Linked DNA regions of Anolis sagrei. The protein of the gene in region 1 interacts with the protein of each later gene in a pairwise test. Links are inferred from orthologs where the notes say so. Each region holds a gene or a part of one and is shown on either strand. Other genes may lie near its edges.

Region 1 (12,225 bases):
GGAGGACAGCTCAAGGAAGGCACACAGCAGCTGAGAGCCCCTTGGATCACTCTCAGCCACTGCCTGTCTTGCCCTCCTCTCAGCATAATGCCAAGAGGATCGGGGAAGGAGGATGGGGAGGAGAATCATGAAGGGGGCAATAGTCATGTGTCCCACCTTTCTCCCAGCATAAGAATATGGTGAGTAGCCCCATCCTTTTGCTGGGAGGACAACCTGACGATGACCTGGGCCTTGCCCTGTCCCTCCTGACCTCTCCCTCTCCCGGCCCCTCCCTGCCCAGTATGTGTCCAGCCCTTCTCTCTCATGGTCCAGCCCACAATGCAGCCCCAAGGCAAAAAAAGTTTGCCCATGCCTGCTCTAGCCCTTTTCAAAACCAGCTCTCTCCATTCCAAAGACTGCCTAAAGGGCTGCTCACTATTAGTATCCTCGAAAATAAGTTCTCACAGTATAAGAGATAATACAAACAACTTACAACAAAAAATTACTGATTGTTTACAATAAAGCTATTACATTAGCTGGAACAATATGTGAATCCCTCATTGCAAATATTAATTTCTTAATATATGCATCCAATTAAAGACCTTTTAATTTTAAAAATCTGAAATTTGTTTATCAATGAAGAATTTGAAACAGTGAAACAAATGTAGTATCTCTGGAATCAGGATGGCAAAATAAAATTACCAAAGGGGAAAAGTATACATTTGATTTAATATCATTTATTATTAAACGGAACAAGACAGTAACATTTCATAGCAGTTGACTGCAGGAACAAAAATGGTGTAGTCAGTAGAGACAGTTATGGGTGTAGTGTTTTCTGAATGATACAAGAAAGCCACCTAGTGTTAACATTTAGAAATGAAATTGCATTTTAAAACTCGAGTAAAGTAATTTATAAGATCATTCTTCCTAACAAGAGTATTTGCTTGAAAATATTTATTTGTTATTGTGGCAATGTCTGAAGAAAATACTTCAAATTCAAGCTGACCCCAAAACTCATAATGAAACAACAAAATTCTTCAATGAAGGTTCAATTCCATCCTCTATGTTTCATCTAAATATATGCTAACCCAATGTATGCCAAGACATTAACAAAGAAAAAGTTGAAATAAAAAAGCTGGTATTTGTTGTTCAAACTGTCAAAGAAAAAAGTGGTGATGACAGATAGAATAGAGAGAGAAATAACAAAAACTCACTGAATATTATTTGGTTACAATATCGTACCTCAAAATATACTGTTCAAAAATCATTTCATTTGAGCTGAACAATAAAGCCACTCTTGAACTTGCAACTGATATACATTCAGGAGAAAGGAGATACAACCTCTTTCAAAAACAGAAATGAACATAGCATTCATTTAAAACTTACACACAAAGCAGCCAAAACTGAGAACACCTCCATATGCAATTTCTCCAGCGCAAGTAAAAGCTGACCAAGGATATTTGTTTTGTAGATTTTATTTTTAAAATGATGCATAGTAACAGTACAGAAATCACACAAGAGGAGGTCTGGGGTGGGGGAGAGTCATTCCTACCCATTGAACCCCTCCCCCTCATTTCCCCCATGTTTCTCCATACACCAAGGAGGCCCATAGGACACCTGCAGGCAGCAAGCACAACTTCCCTGCCCCCCTTCCTTCCCAGCAACAAAACATCGCTTCTCCCACTAAATTTACTCCCCTCCCATCTTGACGCCAAATGAATGCTAGGAAGCGCCTTCTATCCATCAAGTGGCAAGGGAGTGCAGGCTGGGGGTGGGAAGGAGGGCAGAGGCAAGTTGAATTTTCTCTCCATTTCCCCCGAACAAAAATTCATCCATGTTAAGAAGGGATTAGAAGCGACCCTTTTTTTCCATCAGCCGACAGAACTCACCCTTCCCCATTCCCTCCTTCTTTTACACAAACAAAGCAAGGTTTTTGTTGCCAATCAACTCCCCTACACACTCACACTATGCATTTGGACTATGAATGCCCCGGAAAGCTGATGCACTCCTGCTTGCTCTCTCTCAATCTTTCTCTCACAGTGTGCCCATATTATGAAAGATGTCCACATTATAAAAGCACCTGACACGCAGCTCCCATGTACATATACTGCATGCCTACAGCATAAATATTCCAAAAATCTTAAGCACCCCAGCAGCTCACACACAGTGTGCCTACTCTTATAAAATCCTCATAAATCTTAAGCACCCTCAGCAGTTCACATAGTGTATTCCTATCCTATAAAACCTCACAAGACTTAAGTGCTCCAGCTAGCTCATACACAAACACACTACACTACACTACAAAAGCCCCGCGAGTCTTATGCACATACACCCTGCCAGTTCGCATACATATACTGTGTAACTATGGCTGTAAGGAATTGGGGGAGCTGAAATTCAAAACACCTGGAGGGACTAAGTTTGCCCGTGCCAGGGCTATATAAATGCTCCGTAGTCTTAAGCACCCCAGCAGACTTACCCACATGAATGTACACACCTAATTTATGCCTACACTATATAAAATCCCCACAAATCCAAAGCACCTCAACCGGTTCTCTCTCACACAGAGGATTTGAGCATATGTCTATTTCAAATGTGCGTATTAGTTATTTTAACTCCCTTTTTGTGTAGGAACCTATCCCTATTCTTTTCAATTTATTCCTACATATGCTACTAAATGTTGTTAGAGAAGTCATGCCATGAACCCAAGATTCATATGGGGCTGGACGGCCCTTGTGGACTCTTCCAACTCTGTGTTTCTATGATATGGAGAGGCAGATTGCCTGGACCCAACCTACATGGTTATTTTGTCAAGGAAAGGAAAATCAAGAGGAGGAGTTTTGCATCCCACCTCAAGGCCAAAATCTGGGAGAGCAAATCTGGTTCACCATCTTTGGGTATGAGGATTCCGGCCATAGATGCAAGAAAAATGTCAAGAGATAATGCTTCTGGGACAGTGATTTGGGCCATGAATGCCTTTGACAATACATCTTTGGGTATGTTTGGCTCCAATTAGGCTCAGTGGTAATGAAGTCCACATTCTACCATCACAAGGGTGGGGAACATGGATTGAATTAGGAAGTGGCTGTTAGGAATTGTGGGAGTTGAAGTCCAAAACACCTGGAGGGCCAAAGTACGCCATGCCTGGTATAAATGGTATACACAATAAGTTTGCCCATGCCTGGTATACCCACAAATCTTTTGCACACATGTATTATTTGTGCCCTGTACTTCTCAACCACAAGGGGGGGGGGGCACTCAGGGCGGCTTACACCAGCAACAATTCGATGCCAACACATACAAAAACACACTATACCATGACATTACGTTTTAGATAAAAACATTAGGTTAATAATCAATTTAAAACATTATTATCAACCATATAGCCATATCTAAGTCTAATTCAGTGTCCAAAGCCTGTCCATTGTCAGTACACTCCTTGCCTGAACTATAAAGGGGGGGAGAGAAGGCGGGTTATAAATAAAGTGTTGGGTTGTTGTGAGTTTTCCGGGCTGTATGGCCATGTTCCAGAAGCATTCAGACCTCACGATCTTTGAGGTTGTCTGCCACAGATGCAGGCGAAACGTCAGAAGAGAATGGGTTGTTGTAGGTTTTTCAGGTTGTACGGCCATGTTCTAGAAGCATTCCCTCCTGACGTTTTGCCTGCATCTGTGGCAAGGTTGTGAGGTTTGTTGGAAACTGGGAAATTGGGTTTCTATATCTGTGGAAGGTCCAGGGTAAGAATGCTTCGGGAACATGGCCATACAGCTCGGAAAACTCACAACAACTTAATGATTCCGTCCATGAACAACTTCGACAATACAAATAAAGTGTTGTTATAAATAGTGTTGTTAATAGCTTTACCCACACACACAGACTTAAAATATACACTATAAAAGACCCACAAGTGTTAAACACCCCCACCTAGTCCATATAGTCATACATACACAGTGCATTCCTGCAGTATCAAGGCCCCTACAAGTCTCGGGCATTCCAGAGAAAGAGAAAAGAGAGGGGGGTGAAAGCCTAGACTAGAAATGCCCCTGAAATCATAACAGAGCTCACAACACGCAAACATACACAAGGCGACAAGAGCCCAAGCCTGAAGCATCCCAGCCAGTTCTCTCTCTCACCCACAAAACGACGGTCTGAGGGGGGAAAGGTCCCCGAGAGAGAGGTGCCGGTGGTGGGACGGAGGCCGGGCCGAGGGAGGCCCCCAGGTAGTCCTTCTCGCACCGCGCTTGACTTCCCTATATTCCCAGGCGGAGAACAAACCCCTCACCTTCTTCTTTCCTTTCCTCCCTCAGCCGAAGAGTCCCGCGTTCGCCAGAGAGGGGAAAAATAAAGTCAACTCTCTCGCTGAGCGACTGACTGACTGACTGGACTGACTGCCTCGCGCTCGCCAAGAGAGGACGGAGGGTCTGTTGAAGTGACGCGGAGGGGAGGGGGCGCGAGCGGCTCCTTCCTCGGCGCGCGCCGCTCCTTCCCCCTCGCGCCCGCTTGCCTCCCCTTCAACGGCCGCTTCTTTCGCCAGCGCGAGGACGGAGAGCTGCAGGCTCAGTTTTGCCGGATAGGAAAAAAAAGGAAGGGAGAGGAGGAGGATGGGAGCCCGAAAGATGAGCTTAGCTCCAGCACAAGGCACCCGCACCCACTCAGCCACGCCCCTTCGCCTCCCATTGGCTGCCTTCCTCACTCTGTGACCAACCCTAGCACGCTTATTGGGCTGTGCTGTTCGGGAAGGCACGCCCCCTCCTCCCCATCATGGCAGAACGCCCCGCCCCCTGCCCTTCCCCTTTCGCCCCCCCTTTTTCCCCCTCCTTCTTCCAATTGTTTGTCTCCTTTGCCTTTTAGAGTCCGAAGAGCGCTGCTGCTTCTTTTTTTTTTTTCATTCTCTCCTTCCTTGCCTCTTGTTTTGCAGTAAGGTGCATCTACGCTGCAGAATGAATTAATACACTCCGACACAACTTTTAAAACTGTGACGTCATGGGAGTTATAGTTTTGCAAGGTCCTTTAGCTTTCTCTGCCAAAGAACTTCATAATCCCATGATTCCATTGCATGGAGCCATGGCACTTCAAGTGGTGTCCAAACTGCGTTAAGTCTGCAGTGTAGACTCACAGGCATGGACAAACTTGGGCCCTCCAGGCAGGGCCGTAGCCAGAAAAAAATTTCGGGAGGGGTTTAAATTTTCGGGGGGGGGGGGAGGTTGAAAATTTCGCAAGGGGGGGGGTTGAAACCTGCCTCCTAGCTCACGCTGTAGCAAAGAGCACAGCAGGGGGCAGAGCAGCCTTCAATAGCCTGCAGCTCCGTCCTTGTCAACCACCTCCACCAAGTCTGGCCTCCTTAATGAGAGCATTCAACATCCCCCCTCCCCCAAACTTGGTTGCTTCACTATTGTTCTGTCCTGTGCTGGGCCTGTAAATAATTGTCTTTAGAACAGGATGTGCAATCTTTGCCCAGCGGGAAGCCAGGAGGCCTAAAGAGAAGTTCTCAGAGGTTTCCACCACAAACCGTCTTTAGATGGCTTGAGAAGTACAACAAAGTCTTTTATTAAAGAACAATCAAACAGAAACTTCTCTTGTCTTCAGTAAAGTTAAGCAAATGATTCCAAGCTTTTAGGCAACTGGTGAATTCCTAATCTTGCCCATGAAGGACAGGCAACTGTTTTCAATAACTTCTTCTTTAAAGGAAAATCCCCGTTTTAACTTCTCCCAGGCTGACTGTAATCTAACCCTTACTGATGTGGACTCCGCTACAGGGTCGAACTGCATCTCGAATGCCGAGTGGACCTACCAGCAAGGCAGTAGATGTTCTCCAGCTGGAGTTCTTTGGTCTTTAGGGCTGTTTTCCTGGAAATTCTTTGGAGACTCTTAAAACCTTTCTCCCCCGGAAGGTCTTAAGGGTTAAAGCTTTTGTACAGGGGAAGCTTGCACACATCCTATACATAAGCTTACCTTGCTGAGACTAACTAAAAATGGCTCCCTTCCCTTCCCAATTGCCCTGAGCAAGGGGCGGGACCAAAACTTAACAATGATGGACAGGTGACTTGCCCTATGACTGCAACCAAAGAAGCCACCTATCTGCAGAGTCCCTGAAACCTAGGACTGCAAGCAAACATTTAATACAAAGCAAATAAAGTTGGAGCTCCTGGTACAGCTGTACTAGAACAACTACATCAGCTATTGCTGCAAGTAATGACAGTGTGAATAAATTGCTAATATTTGCTTGAGATAGTGCTTGCAGTTCTGGAGGGACTCTTGATTTTTTGCATCTCATAGACTTAGCATGGGGATTTGGTTAACCAGTTAAAATTCATGAGTAAACCAGGTTTTGAAAAAAAAATCTGAAACATTTCGGGGGGGGGGGGTTGAACCCCTAACCCCCCCCCCCTCGCTACGGGCCTGCCTCCAGGTGTTTTGGACTTCAACTCCAACCATTCCTAACAGCCTCGGGCCCTTTTCATTTCCCACTCAGCTGCTTAAGCCATTACAGTTCAAGTGGTGTCCAAACTGCATTAATTCGCAGGTCTCGGCAAACTTGGGCCTTGCAGGTGTTTTGGACTGCAACTCCCACCATTCCTCACAGCCTCAGGCCCCTTCCTTTCCCCCTCAGCCGCTTAAGCCATTGCAGTTCAAGTGGTATTCAAACTGCATTAAGTCTACAGTGTAGACTCGCAGGCCTGGGCAAACTTGGGCCCTGCAGGTGTTTTGAACTGCAACTCCCACCATTCCTCACAGCCTCAGGTCCCTTCCTTTTCCCCCTCAGCCGCTTAAGCCATTGCAGTTCAAGTGGTATTTATTTGTCGTGTCAGGGTAACCAGTCAATTGTATTACAATTCTAACAGAACAAAACAGACAAAATACAAAATTTGCAAGCTTGGTAGTTGATTAAATGTCCTTTGACCAGTAGCTGGCCACTTGGAGTGCCTCTGGTGTTGCTGCAAGGAGGTCCTCCATTGTGCATGTGGCAGGGCTTAGGTTGCATTGCAGTAGGTGGTCTGTGGTTTGCTCTTCTCCACACTCGTATGTTGTGGATTCCACTTTGTAGCCCCATTTCTGAAGGTTGGCTCTGCATCTCGCGGTGCCAGAGCACAGTCTGTTCAGCGCCTTCCAAGTCGCCCAGTCTTCTGTGTGCCTCAACCAATGGCTGATACCAAATGAGAGACTCCCCCCTGGGCACACAGAAGTTCAAGTGGTATTCAAACTGCATTAAGTCTACAGTGTAGACTTGCAGGCCTGGCCAAGCTTGGGCTCTGTGGGTGTTTTGGATTGCAACTCCCACCATTCCTCACAGCCTCAGGCCCCTTCTTTTCCCCCTCAGCCGCTTCCTCAGTGAGGAATGGTGGGAGTTGCTGTCCAAAACACCTGCAGGGCCCAAGTTTTCCACCCCTGCTCTTTCTTTCTGATGTTGAGCTCTTTTGGAGGGTCTCCCAGCGGGAGAGATCCCAGAAGACCGCAAAAGGGGTCCTCAAACCTCGGTGAGCAGCCAGCGAAAGCCAATCCAAAGAGCAAAAAATATTAAAAATTAATCTCACCGGAGGCGGAAGAAGTTCAGCGACCGAAGCGTTTATTTTGCGATTCAGCTGAAAAGGATGCAATTGTAGTGATGATTCACATACAAGCATGGTTTTACAGAATTTCCAGGCATTTTTATAGCGTACAGACAAAGGAAACATTTTCAAAAATCCCACCCGCCCTCTGCCGGCCGGCTTCGCCCTGATTGGCTGGCCACGGAACAGCTGGGAGGAGGCTTGGCTGCGCGTCCCGCCTCCTGTCCAATCAGCGAGCTCCGCTGCCTCTAGGGGGCCAATCAGCGCCTTCCTAGCGCCTCCGAAGATGGTCCAATCGGCAGCCAGGAGGCGGGACGAAGCTTGACAGTTCAGAGGAAATGATGAGCCCAGGGGGCATCCGCCAGCTGAAATGTGGGGCTTTGTCCTCACCGGCGGGGTGACAGATAGGGGAACAATGAGTTTCCTGGTCTATGATTGGATTTGGGAGGAAGTGTGAAAAAGGGGCTTTTGATGGTATTTGGACCTCAGAGCCTCGTAAAAAGGGGAATCAACAAATACCTAAAAATGATTCAATCAGTCTTTTCTTCCTAAGTTTCGGTTGACCCTTCCCTCCCTTACTGTCTGCTCTGAAAGTTAGTTTGAGAAGGGATCAACCACACGGCCCATGCAAATGTAAATATGAACCGTTTCGGGAGGACAAAGGATTTCCTCCCTGTCACAGTAATCCTTAGGTCACATTCCTTTTGGGGCAAGGGTCAAAGAGGAGAAGCGGGGAGGGGAACCAGAGTACATTTCTTATAATATTTCATTACATACATTTCATATATTTTCACATTTCATGAGGCAATCCCATCCCCAGTGAAAGTTTATTAATAAAAATATTCAGTCATTTCATTATTGAAAGAAGTTCATGGTCTCCTGGTGAAGGCACACGGAAACGGAGGCTACTTGCGAATCGGGGCAAGCCTGATCTGAAGGTTTGTGCCCCAAAAAATGTGGCAGAAAACAGTCCGGGAGGTGGAGCAGAAAGTCAATAGGAGAGGGCAAATAAGAGAGTCCAAGGAGGGTTTCCGGGTTGCGATTGATGGGGCAATGTCCTTTGGGAAACTACATTTCCCTGATCAGAGGCCGGGACCCATGCCTGGCCACCTTCCCGGGACTCCTACGGGTGGCCGCAGTGGGTCCCTGGCTGCTGGATCCGAGCGGGAGCGAATGCTGCCGAGGAGAAGCGAAGAGCCTGGCTAGTTTGACAATCAGCTGTTTCTCTGCAAGATAAAATACTTAAAACAAAACTAATTTTTTTCCCGGGTGAAGGGGCCCAAAACGAGAAAAGGGAGACAGCGGTTAGTCTTAAAATTAATTGTAGAAAAATATAAAATTGGAACGGCGGCGATCCGCCAGTTTATGTGTTTTCGTGGATAAGGGGGTCTGAAATGGCGGTTTCCGTATCCGCGGTCCAGGCGAACGCAGATCCGGGGTCTGGGGGGCACCCGGAAGCGCCTCCCGCATGCTCACGGCTCTCCGGAGCCTGGAAAAGGGTTTATTTTAGTGCTGTTATGGTTTGAGTCAGAAAGGATACAAAAGTATCAAGCGGAGAGATGAAAAGTTGCAAGTTTCAAGTACTTTTATTAGGGAAATGATACAAAGTAAAGGGTAAGGGAAAGCAAAGTGAAGCTGCAAGCATTCCTGGCTTTGAGCTGGCTGCTGGGGCACATTTCATCTGCTGGTCCCAAAAGCTTGATCCAGGAACTGCGGAACTCTCCGCTGCGGTTCACACCAATGTGAAGGCGGGGCTCCCCGCTGCGCTCGGGCTCATTTCCATGTCCAGTTTTATTAGGCACAACCTTTAGTGGGCCACAGCCATTTCCCATTAAAACTCAGGCCAAGTCAAATGTTTAGCCTTATTTAAACACTGCCCTGGAGCCTCAGCTGACCTTCCTTCTTTTCCTCTTTCAGGGAAGACACGATTGGACATCTAATGAGTAAGAGTCGCACGGTTTATGAAGGAAAACAGCAACAGATGTCAGGAAACCGGCCTGCTTTCCTACCTAAACTCTACAGAAGAGGAGGGCATCCTGCTGTCACTTTAAATGCCACGGCTCAGTGCTCTGCAATCATGGAAGTTTTGGGTCCTTAGCCCTCCTGCCAAATAGGACTGTAACTCCCATACTTCCATCGCATTGAGCCATGGTGGGTTTTGGGGGTTTTTTTGTGTGTGTCAGGAGTGACTTGAGAAACCACAAATAGCTTCTGGTGTGAGAAAATTGGCCATCTGCAAGGATGGCCAATCTGCAAGGATGGCCTGGGGACGCCCGAATGTTTTACCATCCTGTGGGTGGCTTCTCTCATGTCCCCGCACGGGAAGCTGGAGCTGACAGGCAGGAGCTCACCCTGCTCCCCAGATTAGAACCGCCGACCTTTCAGTCAGCAGTCCTGCCTGCACAAGGATTTATAACCCATTGCACCACTGGCGGTTAAAGTGGAGTCAAAGTGCATCACTTACACCAGGGTTCCTCAAACGAAGTCCCTCCAAAGTCGTTTATCTGGTCCCACCCTAAACTTTGGACTTAAGGTTGCCTTAAGCCTGAAACGACTTGAAGGCACACAACAACAATCCTAATTAACTTGAGTATCAGCCAAAAACAGTCACATACTTCCCACTAAAATACTGGTAAGCTTGTGTTGATTGTTCTGCATTTTAAATATTGTATTATACTTTCTGTGTGTGTGTGTGTGTACTATAGATTGTCCACAGGAATTAATGCATTTTTTTTCAAACTATAGTCCGGCCTCCCAAGAGTCTCAGGGGCTGTCAACAGGTCCCTGACTGGCAAAAGTATGATAGCTGGGACCCTACGAACCCTATGCTAGTAGTGCAACGTGCGTCAGAATCAATGAAGGGAAGTCTGCTTGGACTGCTCCCAGCTGCTGGGGCTGCTTTCTTCGAAGGGCAGAAAGTGTGGTGGCGGCCAGGGAAGGTTTTTACAAGGCCCTAGTGCGAACAGGGAGTCAGGAATCGGATCCCCAGTTCCCCCCTTCTTCTGCTTTCCTCTGCCCGCTTTCTAACAGTGGAAGAGCCGGGGCAACCAGCATAGGGCCCCAGCTATCATACTTTTGCCCCCTGACTTATACAGTGCAGATTCACCCATGATTTTCAGACAACTGAAGACCTATACGTATCCCTTCCAACAGCCCTGCTCGGTCAGTTTTTAACTATGAATTTTAAAGTCACGTCTTTTCTCTAATGTATTTTCATCTTTGTTCTGTATATTTTAATATGTATTAACGTATGTATTTTACTGAATGGTTTTATGATGACATGTTATTTAGTATGTTGTGCCCCACCTCGACCAGTGAGGAGAAGCAGATAAGAAGTAAATATTATTGTTGTTATTATTGTTGTTATTATTATAGGGTTGCTGTATGGGCCATGCTCCAAAAGGACCCTGTGGTGTCACAGCGGGTTAAACTGCTAAGCTGCTGAACTTGCTGACCAAAAGGTTGGTGGTTCGAATTTAGGAAGTGAGGTGAGCTTCCTTTGTTAGGCACAGCTTCTGCCAACCTAACAGTTCGAAAGCATGCAAATGTGAGTAGATCAATAAGTACTGCCTTGGCGGAAAGGTAATTGTGTTCCATGCAGACATGCTGGCCACATGACCTTGGAGGTGTTTACGGACAACGCCGGCTCTTTGGCATGGAAATGAAGATGATCACCAACCCCCAGAGTCAGACATGACTACACTTAGTGTCAGGAGAAATCTTTACCTTTTCAGCCATGTTCCAATAGTATACACTCCTAGGAAAGAATACTCCTGGAAAATTGGCCATACAATCCAAAAACCTAAGAGCAATCTGGTTATTCCAGCCAAGAAAGCCTTCTACAATACATCATCATTTGATACATAGCAAGATTAGTATACAACAAACAAGATCACAATGCTGGCTTTTGTACTGGATCACACGTTGGACACTTCCCAAGTGTCTAGGACTGTGTGATGTATCAGCGAATAATATGTGCAGATCCGAGTAAGGTGGCCTTTTGCAACTGACAGATGGTATTTTTGTCAGTGCCGATTGTTTTTAAGTGCAGGCCAATATCTTTAAGCACTTGCACCCAGTGTTCTGATCACAACTAGGACCACTTTTATTGGCTTGTGCCAGAGTCGTTACAGTTCTATCTTAAAATCCTCATGTCATGTAAGTTTTTCTAGTTGCTTCTTGTCAATTCTGCTGTCACCTGGGATTGCAACATCGACAATCCACACTTAGAGGGTTTTTTTCTATTTGGTTTTCCAGCATGAATCTGTGATCAACTTTTACTTGGAAACTGACAAAAGAATTCCACTGAAGAACCAAGAGATTCTGAGAGGCATTCTCTGGGTCCTGCTTTGTGCCTGGAGGAAGCTGACCAATAGGTTTTTCTGTGGGATTGCCCAGTAATGGTGAGCTATGGGGAAAAAATAAGCAGGGGTGAGAGTGGGGTCATATACTAGCATCTTGCATATGATCCCTGGAATAATTCCCCAGCATACAACTTATTTGATGAAAAACTGCTGACTCAATTCTGGTGTGCTACATATCAGTCATACCCAAATGTCACCATGCTTTTGTTTCAAGTTTTGCTCCCCAGTGTGACTACAGAACTCTGTTAGAGTGGGTTTTCAACACTTCTCCAATTGAAAACCAAAACAAGAAACAGATTAACTGTTGAGAATGACATGAGGTTGCATTCACAAACACT
Region 2 (12,299 bases), on another chromosome or scaffold:
TTTTCCTGCAAAAGACTATCTGAAAGAACACTTAAAACTGGATCTACAAGTAGGGATTATAGTGTCCTAATTATAAGCATGAGCTGCAGACCACATGAATCTTATTGGGAAAAATGCTCAAGGGGTCAACATTGGCACAGAAAGCCATTGGGAACTAGACATTCAATAAACATATTTTGAGAAAAACGGAAGAGAGACAACCAATTATTATCGATGAAAAGACGTTTTGTCTGTGTTCTACTTTAGGGAAAATGATTGGGAAAACATTAACAGGACAAGAGTCTGCATAACCTGCTAGTTCAGACAAAAATATTTGCGAAGTTCTGAAATCTACAGTATTTCTATATTTCTCTCCAAAATTCCATTATGCCTCAGGGTTTTCAAACACTGAAACACAGAACATGCTGGGGCTAATATTTATAATGACAAACTTCAAACCTACCTCCCGTTCTCGATGATAGCAACAAAATAACATATCAATAGAAAATCATTTTTCTTGATTAAAAGCCCTCAAAAATTCTAATTTCATTGTCTCTAGTTTGATATTATTTTCTGTCTTTCTGCATACTTGCAAAATTCATTCAAATTCTGGCCAGCAGAATACAGTTTTCAAATGGTTGTGGCACAATATTGATGCCCTCTGGAACCGATGTATTTGCAATAACAGTTTTAACACTAAGCTAAGTCACATTTGCTTCTTATACCTGAGCTTTGAGGCAGGATGACTCTGCTACAAAGCCTAAGGATCACTTGCAAACAATTCTGAAAAGGCTGGTTCTCACTGCAAGCAGCTGACAAGTGTCACATGGAAATGGCAACTGATGCCAAGAGCTAGCCTAAAATTCAGAGGAAAAGTGAGCACCTGAGACTCTTGTATTTTTGACTTTTGGTAAGGTAGAAGGCAGTAAAAAATTGAGAAGGCAACATTCCTGGTGAATAGAATCAACCAAGGAAGTGACGGCCCTGAATCTGGAAGAACTGCACAAGCTGCTGATGACAGGGTGAGTTGGATGTCATGGGGCTGCCACAGGTTGAAGTCAACTCCACAGCAGTTAGCAACTGAATCCTCTTTGGGTTTTAGGCCAAAGTTTAAAGGGACTCTCAGGTGTTGACACTATTTCAGGGATATAATACTACATGTTGATTACCTCCATTATAATGTTTAGACTAGAACTTTGGATAGATTCACTGATCCCATGACAAGGAACCCACCAGCTACCATTATTTTTGTACACTGCCTCTATCTCTCCGAAGGGACTCGGGGCTGCTTACATATGGCAAAATGTAAACACACAATACAATACAAGTTAAAACCAATAGTATATAAAAGCAAGTTTAAGCTCAGAACAGCACCTAATAACTTATGATGAGAACTGTTGTAAAACATAGCCAACTGTAAACAGGAGCAGGGAATAGGATAATGCAAATTTTAGCTAATGAACTAGGGCATGGGACAAAAGTGCAGTGCAGTGCCATCAATTGCGGACCATTGCGACTAGATATTCTCAAAGGCTTTGGGAAAACTATTATTATGGTTAAACATAACTTGCGTCTGCATCAAAAACACACTGGTCTTCTACTTCTAGGGTATGGGAAGGTAAATAAAGTATGTCCAGTTCATACATCTCTGCTACTTATATTACCATGATTCAGATGATAATTAGAATACAAGGCAAAAAGAAATTGGACGTATCAAGATACATTCCCAATGCCCAAACTAATTTGGCTTTCATATACTCAAAATAAGATCCCATTAACTTAACCTCAGGACTCTTTCACGATGTAAACATATAACACTGTAATTTCCCTTGAATTGCTGTGGCTATATCCTAAGGAATGTGGGATTTGTAGTTTGATCAGAGACACTAGAGGAGCTCTCTGCCTGAGAAGTCTAAAAGCTTCTCTCTAAATTACAAATCCCAGGGATTCCATGGCAAATGAAGTGGAATCATAGTGCTACAATCCTGTAGTACAAAGAAGTCTCCTGAAGGCAAAGGCTTCAGCTGAATACAGTAGATTTTGACAGTCAGGCAGAGATGTTAACTAAAAAGAACTCTACAGACTTATACTAATATCACATCTGCACAGGATATTTTGCTTTTATTGCTTAAATTGCCAAATTATACTTTTTAATGAGCCATGTAATATCAAAGAAATAATAGTTGTTACTGTGCTGGGAAACACACACTTAAACATACCCTTCTAATTAACTTAAATCCATTTCAGATGCTCCACACAATAGAATATCTCTTAAAACATACCAGGATAATTCATTTAATGCTTCTGGTTTGTAATCTAGTTTCCTGATCTGTACCTTTCAAATGTGATTATATGGAAACTCTCTTGTCTAAATTTTGAAACGGCCTGCAATGCCTCTGTATATTATGGAGAAAAGAAGCTAGAGGCAATCTGGTGTGATTTAACAGTGCTTTTCACTTGACTTTAACAAAAATGTTGAAATGCTTGACCAAACAGCCAAATTATATTAATTTAGGGTCACCATATGTCAGAGAGGCCTCAAAGGCACACAACAGTTACAGTAAGTTAAGAAGCGCTTCCTTTTCACTAGAAGCGACTTGAAGTTTCTCAAGTCGCCCCTGACACGGAATACAAAACAACCTTTTCCCTGTCCCCTATCAAACTGGACAAGAACATCAAAAAGAATGCATGGTTATAGTTTTGCATCTAAAATATGTTTAACCAAAGAAGCTTCTTGGGAAAGAAACAAAATCAGCCCTGAAACAGTAAAACACAGGAAAAGGCTATTTTCTTCCTTGAGAATACAGATCTGGCATAAACATGCTTTTCATAAATTTTTAGGGTTTGGCTTGTATATTAAAAAAAGAGCTTTAGGGCATTATGCAAAGTCACTGTAGTTTCCTAGGTCCAATCACTTATACTGATCTTGATCTACAGATGAGATCTGACTTGCCTTCTAGGTCTCACTGACACCTGCTTTTAACCAAAAGTAAATAATCAAAACAGATGCCAGAGGAATTCTTTTGATGTGCTTCATTTGTTTCCCAATGATTCTTTTTTCTTTTTAAAGAGAATTATATAAAAATATTGAATAGCAATCTTTCAATCACCATTTCTACCTGTATAGATAGTTTAAGGAAGTGTTTTCTAGAACTAGCAAAATATGTTGTTTCTAAGTATTACAATACAGATTTTCCAAAAAGTATACAAGACTAAAGCAAGATCATGACTACAAAGCTTTAGAGAAAACAGCAGGCCACATGAACACCACCTTTTCTCTTTTAAATCTGGCACAAGACTGACACAGACACAACCTTCAGTTTAATTTATCTAAACTAATGGTTCTCAGCCTGTGGGTCCCCAGATGTTTTGGCCTTCAACTCCCAGAAATCCTAACAGCTAGTAAACTGGCTGGGATTTCTGGGAGTTGTAGGCCAAAGATCAGTAGATCATCTAGATCTACTGATCTAGATGACACATTACAGAAATACATGTCTCAATCAAATTGCTAGATGCAACCAGTCTAAGTCCAGTGAATCAACTGCTCAATAGTAAACCGACAGCTGGGAAGCCTGGTCTTCAAGCAAAATGCTAACTGGAGGTCAGCTGTTACCAACAGTGCTATGGATTTTGTGGAAAAATGAATGGGGGGTGGGGGCAAAAGGGAGAAATGTGCCAAGAGGAAGGTGTGCCAATAAAACTCTTGCTGGGACTGCCTTCCATCTGGACATTTGTTCCTATTATGAAATACCATGTGGACCCAACATAGGTCTCTACAGTAATTTGCGGACTGAAAGACTCTGCCCTTGGAAGACAATGATACAGCGAGAGCCTATTAATGATGAAGCCCAGTGAATCAACTACTCAATGGTAAATCAGTACTGGTCCAACTCTAATAGTTTTACAATAAGATTTCCAGCACATAAGGAAGCAAATTTTGGTTCTGAGGTTTCAACTACATGGATTCTTCACAGACAAACCAACTTCTTTGAGGTACAAAATGGCCACTAACTCGTTTCCTTCCTCTTCCTTCCTTGCATTGTTCATTAGTATTATTGTTCCATTACTAAGGCAAAATTAAATAGTTTCCTTTGTAAGTCATAAGGCAAGGCAATATACTTATTTTTTTATCATGACATGCAAACTAATTGTAATTTAATAAAATTATCAATGAATTCTTTTCTGACCAGAAGTCAACCACCTCTTTTACAAGGTGATCGGCTCCTGTAGAAGCTTTAGAGGTTTCGTTCCTCTTGCTCTGACCCCATCAGGCCCTGCTTCGCTCCCAAGAGACTTGCATTGCCCAAGCAGTGTCCCCTCCTTTTTCTTGATGAGCACTAAACCTGTCTTATTACCCAGAAGGCACCAGCCCTCCTCTGTGAGCAAAGCAGGGCCTGATGGGGTCAGACAAAGAGGAATCAAACTGACTGCTGGCCTAAAGGTCGGCAGTTCAAATCCGGGGAGCAGGGTGAGCTCTCGTCGATCGGTTCCAGCTTCTCATGCGGCGACACGAGAGAAGCCTCTCACATGATGGTAAAACATCTGGGCATCCTCTGGGTAACGTCCTTGCAGATGGCCAGTTCTCTCACACCAGAAGCAACTTGCCATTTCTCAAGTCACCCTGACCCAAAAAACAAACCAAATCATGAAAGGAGATACCACTTGAATGTTAGGAAGAACTTCCTGATTGTAAGATTTGTTCAACAGTGGAACTCTCTACCTCGAAGTGTGGTGAAAGCTCCTTCCTTGAAGGTTTTAAATAGAGGATGGCCATCTGTCGGGGGTGCTTTGATGTTGTTTTTAATGCTTCATTTTATATTGTTGTGTCGCTTATTATATTGGTTTTGCATTTTATGTATTTTATTTTCTGGTTTTGTTATGTTTTTGTGTTATATTGTGTGTACTGTACTGATGGGCGTGGCCTCATGTAAGCCACACCGAGTCCCCATGGGGGAGATGGAGCGAGGTATAAATAAAGTTGTTGTTGTTGTTGTTGTTATGGTGCTTTTCCTGCCAGGCAGGGGGTTTGACTGGATGGCCCTTGGGATCTCTTCCAACTCTATGATTCTATGAATGCCCTGACAGTGGCACTCCTTTTGGCCATCTGTCAGGGGTGCTTTGATGGTGCTTTCCTTGCCTGGCAGGGGGTTGGACTGGATGGCTCTTAGGATCTCTTCCAACTCTATGATTCTATGAATGCTCTGAAAGTGGCACTTTTCTGGCCAGCTGTCGGGGTTGCTTTGATGGTGCTTTTCCTGCCTGAAAGGCTGTTGGACTGGATGGCCCTTGGGGTCTCTTCTAACTTTATGATTCTATGAATGCCCTGAAAGTGGCACTTTTTTTGGCCATCTGTCAGGGGTGCTTTGATGGTGCTTTCCTTGCCTGGCAGGGGGTTGGACTGGATGGCCCTTGGGGTCTCTTCCAATATGATTCTATGAATGCCCTGAAAGTGGCACTCTTTTTGGCCATCTGTCGGGGTTGCTTTGATGGTGCTTTCCCTGCCTGGCAAGGGATTGGACTGGATGGCCTCTGGGATCTCTTCCAACTCTATGGTTCTATGAATGCCCTGAAAGTGGCACTCTTTTTGGCCACCTGTCGGGGTTGCTTTGATGGTGCTTTCCCTGCCTGGCAGGGGGTTGGACTGGATGGCCCTTGGGGTCCCTTCCAACTGTATTATTCCACCACCCCTGTGTGGCAGCCTTGAACCCACCCACAGGCCCCTTGAAGGCTGGCAAAGAGACGCGTGTCTTTCTTTCCTGGACCTGGAGGGCGGCACGAAGCCATGGCCAGAGGCAGCGGGGCCTCTTCTCTACCCGGGCCGCCCTCCCCGGCCCCTCTGGAGGACTCACCCCTCGGCTGGTGGAGGCGGCGTCGGTGCCAGCACAGCAGCGAGAGCAGCAAGAGCAGTGGCGCTGGCCAAAGATGGCTGCGAGGCCCCCGCCCCGCCCCAGCAGGGCGTCCTCGCTAATTGCCTGCGCCGAAAGTCAGGCGCCCGCCCTCACGACCCCGAGGCGCCTCTTTCGGTTGATTAGAGGAATGCTTTATAATTTGCTCAGCGTGGCAAAGGAAACACAGGCTTCCACGAACCCGCTTTGAAGGGCCTGCGTGGGGGGCCTTTCCGGAGCAGGCACTCTCCTTGCACAGCCCCTCTTCCCCTCAGCCGGCTTCCCCGAAAGGGACAGGACGGGGCGGCCCTCCTCCTCCTTTCCCCCCTCCCCTCCGCCAAAGCACCAGTCTCGCGCAGGACGGGCGTGAAGATGGCAGCGGAGGAGCCCCGCGCCAAGAAGCCCAAGCTGGAGCCGGCCCGGCTGAGGTAAGGGAGGGAGAAGGCTTCTCCCGGCCCCCGGCCCCTTCCTCCGCCGTTCAGTGGGAGGTTTGGCACCTCCAAGAGAAGCCCTTCCAGTAACGGTCCCCAAACTCTGGTCTGTCAGGGCTTTGGACTCCGTTTCCCAGAATCCCCGGCCATTGGCCCAAGCAGCGGAGGCTTCTGGGAATTGAAGTCCGAACGCCTGGAGCTCGGCGCTGCGGGATACCACCTGTTCTGCCTCGCGCTCCTGCAGAGTTGGAGCGGCCGCTATTGTGAAGGGCCCGGTTGCCCAGTAACCACTTGGGAAGGCGGGGATGCATTGTTCCTGCGGCCTGGGAGCCTGCCTGCATGCCTTTCTTCCTTTCTCAGCAGGGGGGCCGACATTTCGCCATTGGGGCATCTACAACAGTGGTCCCTATCCTTTGGCCCTCCCTTTGGTTTGGACTTCAACTCCCAGCGAGTTTGGAATTAGGAGAACTGAAATCCAAAACGCCTGGAGGACGAAAGTTGGGAACCACAGATCTAAACCATACTTTGAGTGCAGTTTGAGGACACTTTGGCCCCTTCCACACAGCTTAATTGGTATAGTACAATATAGCAATATTTAAAACTGATATTGTACTATGCTAATAATATAATATATTGTATGTATAAGGAGCTCCATTGGCTGCCGTTTACCTACCGAACCCAATTCAAGGTGCAGGTGCTTACCTACAAAGCCCTAAACGGTTTGGGACCTGCCTACCTCCGTGACCGCATCTCCGCTTATGTACCCACACGCTCCCTTCGGTCATCTGGAGAGGCCCTGCTTGCGATCCCACCTGCGTCGCAAGCGCGCTTGGTGGGGACGAGGGATAGGGCCTTTTCTGTGTTTGCCCCCCGACTTTGGAACGACCTCCCCAAAGACATTAGACTAGCACCCACGTTGGCAGTCTTTAGGAAGAACTTCCAGACCTGGCTATTCCGACGTGCCTTTCCAGAATAGGATAACCCAGCACTTTGTCCCAGAAGCACTTTACTAGAGTTTAAGACTCTCTGCACATTGCACTTGCCCAGAATTCCAATACACCTCCTGTCACACCCAGCACTTTTTAACCTGTACCCATCATTGGCCCGGCCATGGTTTTTATTGTGTAATAGTGTAATGTTTTGTTATTGCATATGTTTTTTAATTTGCTTTCTTTTGTATTGTTGTTGTTTACTGCTGTTGTGTTGAGGCCTTGGCGTTTGTAAGCCGCATCGAGTCCTTCGGGAGATGCTAGCGGGGTACAAATAAAGTTTAATTAATAATAATAATAATAATAATAATAATAAAATACCTTGTAAGCCGCTCTGAGTCCCCTTTGGGGTGAGAAGGGCAGCATATAAATGCCATAAATAAATAAATAAATAATACAATCCCACATTTTCTGCTTTGAACTGGAATATATAGCAGTGTGGACTGATTACTTAGGACCCTTCCACACAGTCCTATAACCACAGAAAATCCCACAATATCTGCTTTGAACTGGGTTATCTGAGTCCACATTGAGGGGGGCAGAGGACAGTTCCACCTTGTTGCCTGTACTATGGTATTATTATTATTATTATCATCTTTATTTGTACCCCACTAACATCTCCCAAAGGGCTCGGTGCGGCTTACAAAGGCCAAGGCCCTCAATAAAACAACAGCATCACAAATACAACAATAAAACTCGTAAAGCAAACCAATAAACGTTAAAGCAGTAACAGTAAAACATCAGAACAATACATCATGACACATTTAAAACTAGGGCCGGGCCAAATGTAATGAATACATTAAAAGTGCTGGACATGACTGGTGAAATGTAAGGATTTTAGGGTAGGTGCAATGTGCAGGCAATCTTAAATTTCTGGTAAAGTGCGTTTGGGACATGATGCTGGGAGTTTCCTATTCTGGAAAGGCACACTGGAACAGCCAGGTCTTCAAGCTCCTCCTAAAGACTGCCAACGTTGGGGCTTGTCTGATGTCCTTGGGGAGAGAGTTCAATAGTCGGGGGGCTACCACAGAGAAGGCCCTGTCCCTCGTCCCCACCAAACGCACTTGTGACGCAGGTGGGATCATGAGCAGGGCCTCTCCAGATGAACGGAGGGATCGTGTGGGTTCATATACGGAGATGCGGTCACGCAGGTAGGCGGGTCTCAAACCGTTTAGGACATATATTTACGTCTACTACTACTACTAATATTATAATTATACTAGGTGTGCCCTGCCACGCATTGCTGTGGCCTATAGTAAGAATTTTCGAAGTAGAGGTAGATATCTGGACTGTTATGAAAGAGCGGTACCTACCTATTCCTTCCCCCTTTTTTCTTCCCCTTTCCTTTCTTCCTCCTCTACCTCTTTTTTCATTCCTTCTTCCACTTTGGTTTCATCCTTCCTTCTCTCTTTCCTTCCTTCCTTCCCCCTTTCTCTACTTCTTCCTTTGTCTCCTTTCTTCCCTGTTTCCTTCCTTCTTTCACTTTTTATTTCCTTTTCTCCTTCCTTCTTTACCTCTTTCCTGCCTTTCCTCCCCTTTTTCTTTCCTTTCTACTTTGTATTGTTCCTTCCTTCGGTACCTCTTTTTTCCCTTCCTCCCCTCTTCCCTTCTCTCCTTCCTTCTTTCCCTCCCTCCTTCTCTCTTTCCTTCCTTCCCCCTTTCCCTCCTTCATTCATTCCCTTTTCCCCTCCCTCCTTTCTTCTCTCCTTCCTTCCTGTCTGTTCTTCTGCAATCCTATGGTAGAGTCCCTTCTAACTCTATTCTATGAGTCTATTTAATATAGTAATATTTTTAATTTAAAGGTATTTTTGTGGGTTTTTTTTTCAGTGATGGTCACTCCTTGGATTGTGAGGAGTTTTGTTGCCAAATTTGGGGTCATTTGGCCCAGTAGGTTTTTTGTTTTGTTTTTAAGGTACTCATTACGTACAGAGCATTTATATATATATAGATATATTTATATTATATGTAATATTACTACTACTAATAATATGGCTCCAGCCCAGCTTACTTGTCCGAACGTATCTCCCTCAACGTTCCGCCTCGTAGTTTAAGATCCACCGGGGAGGCCCTGCCCTCGGTCGCATCAGCCTCTCAAACACGTCTGGTGGGGACGAGGAAAAGGGCCTTCTCGGTGGTTCCCCCCCTTGTGGTATGACATGCAGTGTCAGTGCGGGGTATTGCTGAGAGAAACTGATAGAAACTGGTCCAATAGCATCTGGAAGGCTGCAGTAGTCTGTCTGGTCATTATGTGATACAGCCCATGGTTGCTCAGCCCATGGGCTGAGAATTGCGGTATATAAGCAAAGTAAATAAATAAATAAATAAATACTTGTATGCAAAAAAGTTTGTAAAAAGGCATTTTTAAAAAAAAATCAAAACAAATCTTTAAATTTATTTATTTATTTATTTATTTATTATTTGCATTTGTTAACCGCCACTCTCAGCCCGAAGGCGACTTTAAAATCTTCTTTATTGACACCAAAAAGCCTATTTAAAAATAATGAAGATATAGAATGAGACTAGGAAATGAAAAGCTTGTGAAGAGCAGATCATATTAGCTATCCTCAAAGGATCTCATCATGGAGCATGGATCCACTTTAAATCTAGTTGTTGCCTCCTACAGAATTCTGGGGCTTGTGGTTTAGGGGAAGGGCTTTTGAAATGCTCAGCCAGACAGGTCCTGGGCTTCACTAAACTACAAACCCCAGAATTCTGCAGGAGGCAGAAACCGGATCCATGCTGTAGTGTGGTGAGGCACTTTGTGTCTTTTGTTAGAGAGATGAAAGAATGAACGCCTGGCAGAACGGTGAACTTTGTGCATAGATTATTAATAGATTATTAATTCAGAAGATTTTGCAATTAGAGGAATCCAAATGGACAGCATCAGAGGTTTGTTCAGATGAGATTTAGTGCAGGATGAGGTATAATCCAATTCCTCTTTTTGTACTAAGTGCTGCATTAATGCACTCCCAAAATAAAATGAAAGTGTGTGTGTGTGTGTATAGGCAGCTGACAGTACTGATTTTTAAGCAAACTCCATGCATTTCATTGAAAGAAGGAAAAACATGCATAAGAGAGCCTGTTCATGTTGAGCTCCACCTAAAAGCATGGAAAGTGTATTTGATAGCACTTTCTTAACTTCAATTAAGTTTGTCTTTCAATTTCCATTTATGCCAATGACAATGACATAATCACAATCATACGTGTCATACATAATAATACACAATTTTACAACTTGACAATCACCTAACTTACCTAACACACTCACTACAAATACATTTAAAAGCAACTGCCCATGACGGCAGTGGACCTCCTACTCTTTTGTCTACGGTATCTCTTTATCTGGTATCTTACTTTTATTTTTCTTTAATTTTTAAAACTGATTCTTATTTCCTAGCATGTCCTATCCTAACATCCACTGTTTCTTTCCTATAACATTTGAACCTATAATTCTTTACAAGGAAAAATCCTTGGGTTCTTAACAGTCTAAGCAGTAACTTTCCCTGTTTCCAGGTTTTTTTTTTGTTTTTGTTTTTGTTTTTTTTTGTGGGCCCTTTTCGTCTAGCATTACCTACTTCTCTTCTACTTTCTTTCGACCCTCCTGACGAGAATTTTAGACTACTCTGCGTTACTAGGTCTTTCTCTCAGGTGGTGTGCTCTCCCCTGGTCTTACTTGGGACTTAGGTTATTATCCATTTTATCTTGTTTTCTCTAAGCCATACTTTTACAGGTGCCCAATTTGTTGGTAGTACCGGCATGTTTCTTGAGGCTGACAGAATGAACGTTAGGTGGTCCGCATTCATTAGCTCAATTATTTTCTCTGTCCACTCTTCTTCCGTTGGTAAGGTTCTTTGTTTCCAAACCTTGGCTAGCACTAAGCGTGCTGCCGTAATCAGATATGTGAATAGTTTATCCGTCTCTTTATCCCATTGCCCTTCTGTTAATCCTAACAGAAACCATTCTGGTTTTAAGGGGATACTTTTTTTTAGTATTTTTTGACAGCTCTCTTGGATTACTTTCCAGAACTTTCGTACCCTCTTGCAGGACCACCACATATGTTTGTACGTCCCTTCCTCCTTCCCGCACTTCCAACATTTGCTACATGTATGTTTGGTAAATTTGGCTATCCTAGTCGGTGTAAGATACCATTGGTGTACCATTTTCACCCAGTGTTCTTTAAAATAGTAGGAATACGAGTAGTTTGTTTTTATGTTCCAGATCTTGTTCCACTCCTCTAAAGATATAGATCTTCCTATTAGCCTAGCCCATTTGACCATGTATTCTTTTATCCTTTCTTCCTCTGTAGCCCATTCAAGTAAGAGCTTATATGCTCTTGTTATGTATTTTTTGGTGATATCTAGGAGTCTGTCCCATACAGAAGGGAATTCCATAAAGCCTTTTTTGTTGTCTTCTTTAAAGTATTCATTTAGCTGCCAGTGCTGGAGCCAAGTGATATTATTGTATTGTTGTTTTAATACGTCCTGTGTTTTTATACTGAATTCCTTTCTTTCCTTTAGCAATAGTTCCTTATACGTTGGCCATAAATTCCAGCCCAGCTCTTTCCTTTGGTGGGCTTCAAGGGGGGAGACCCATAGTGGTGTTTTGGGGTACATCCTATCCTTATACATGTCCCATACTTTTAAAAGGGCGGCCCGTATGAAATGGTTTCTAATTTTTTTTTCTACTTTTGCCTTATTATGCCATAAATAGGCATGCCACCCAGTTCTTAGATCGTGGCCTTCTAGAATTAGCAGTTTTTTATTTCTCAGTAATATCCATTCTTTGATCCATTCCATACAACACGCTTCAAAATACAGCTTTAGATTCATTGTTATGCTCTCAGTGTATGTCTGTCGTTCTCTCTTTTCTATCATTGTATTATAAAAACTCAATAAAAAAAAAAATTCCATTTATGCCAGCATGACTAAGATCCTTCCTTTCAGTTCTGATTCTCCATACATTTGATAGGCTTAGTCATATTTTGTTCAGTACATGCAAATCTGAAACTAAGATCA

What was found.
Region 2: the proteins of SIPA1L2 (region 1) and AP3M1 interact in binary tests that used the Homo sapiens proteins (3 or more experiments, as listed by UniProt). The two-hybrid records come from large-scale screens. The link is inferred for Anolis sagrei from reciprocal best matches to the Homo sapiens genes SIPA1L2 and AP3M1.

The regions. Positions count from the first base shown.
Region 1 is NC_090021.1:60,219,305-60,231,529, reverse strand, and holds the start of SIPA1L2 (signal-induced proliferation-associated 1-like protein 2), read right to left. Parts: upstream 4,635-12,225; 5' UTR 4,259-4,634; intron 4,236-4,258; exon of another isoform or gene 4,110-4,235; intron 1-4,109.
Region 2 is NC_090023.1:148,567,431-148,579,729, forward strand, and holds the start of AP3M1 (AP-3 complex subunit mu-1), read right to left. Parts: upstream 5,938-12,299; 5' UTR 5,829-5,937; intron 1-5,828. UniProt on the Homo sapiens protein: Part of the AP-3 complex, an adaptor-related complex which is not clathrin-associated. The complex is associated with the Golgi region as well as more peripheral structures.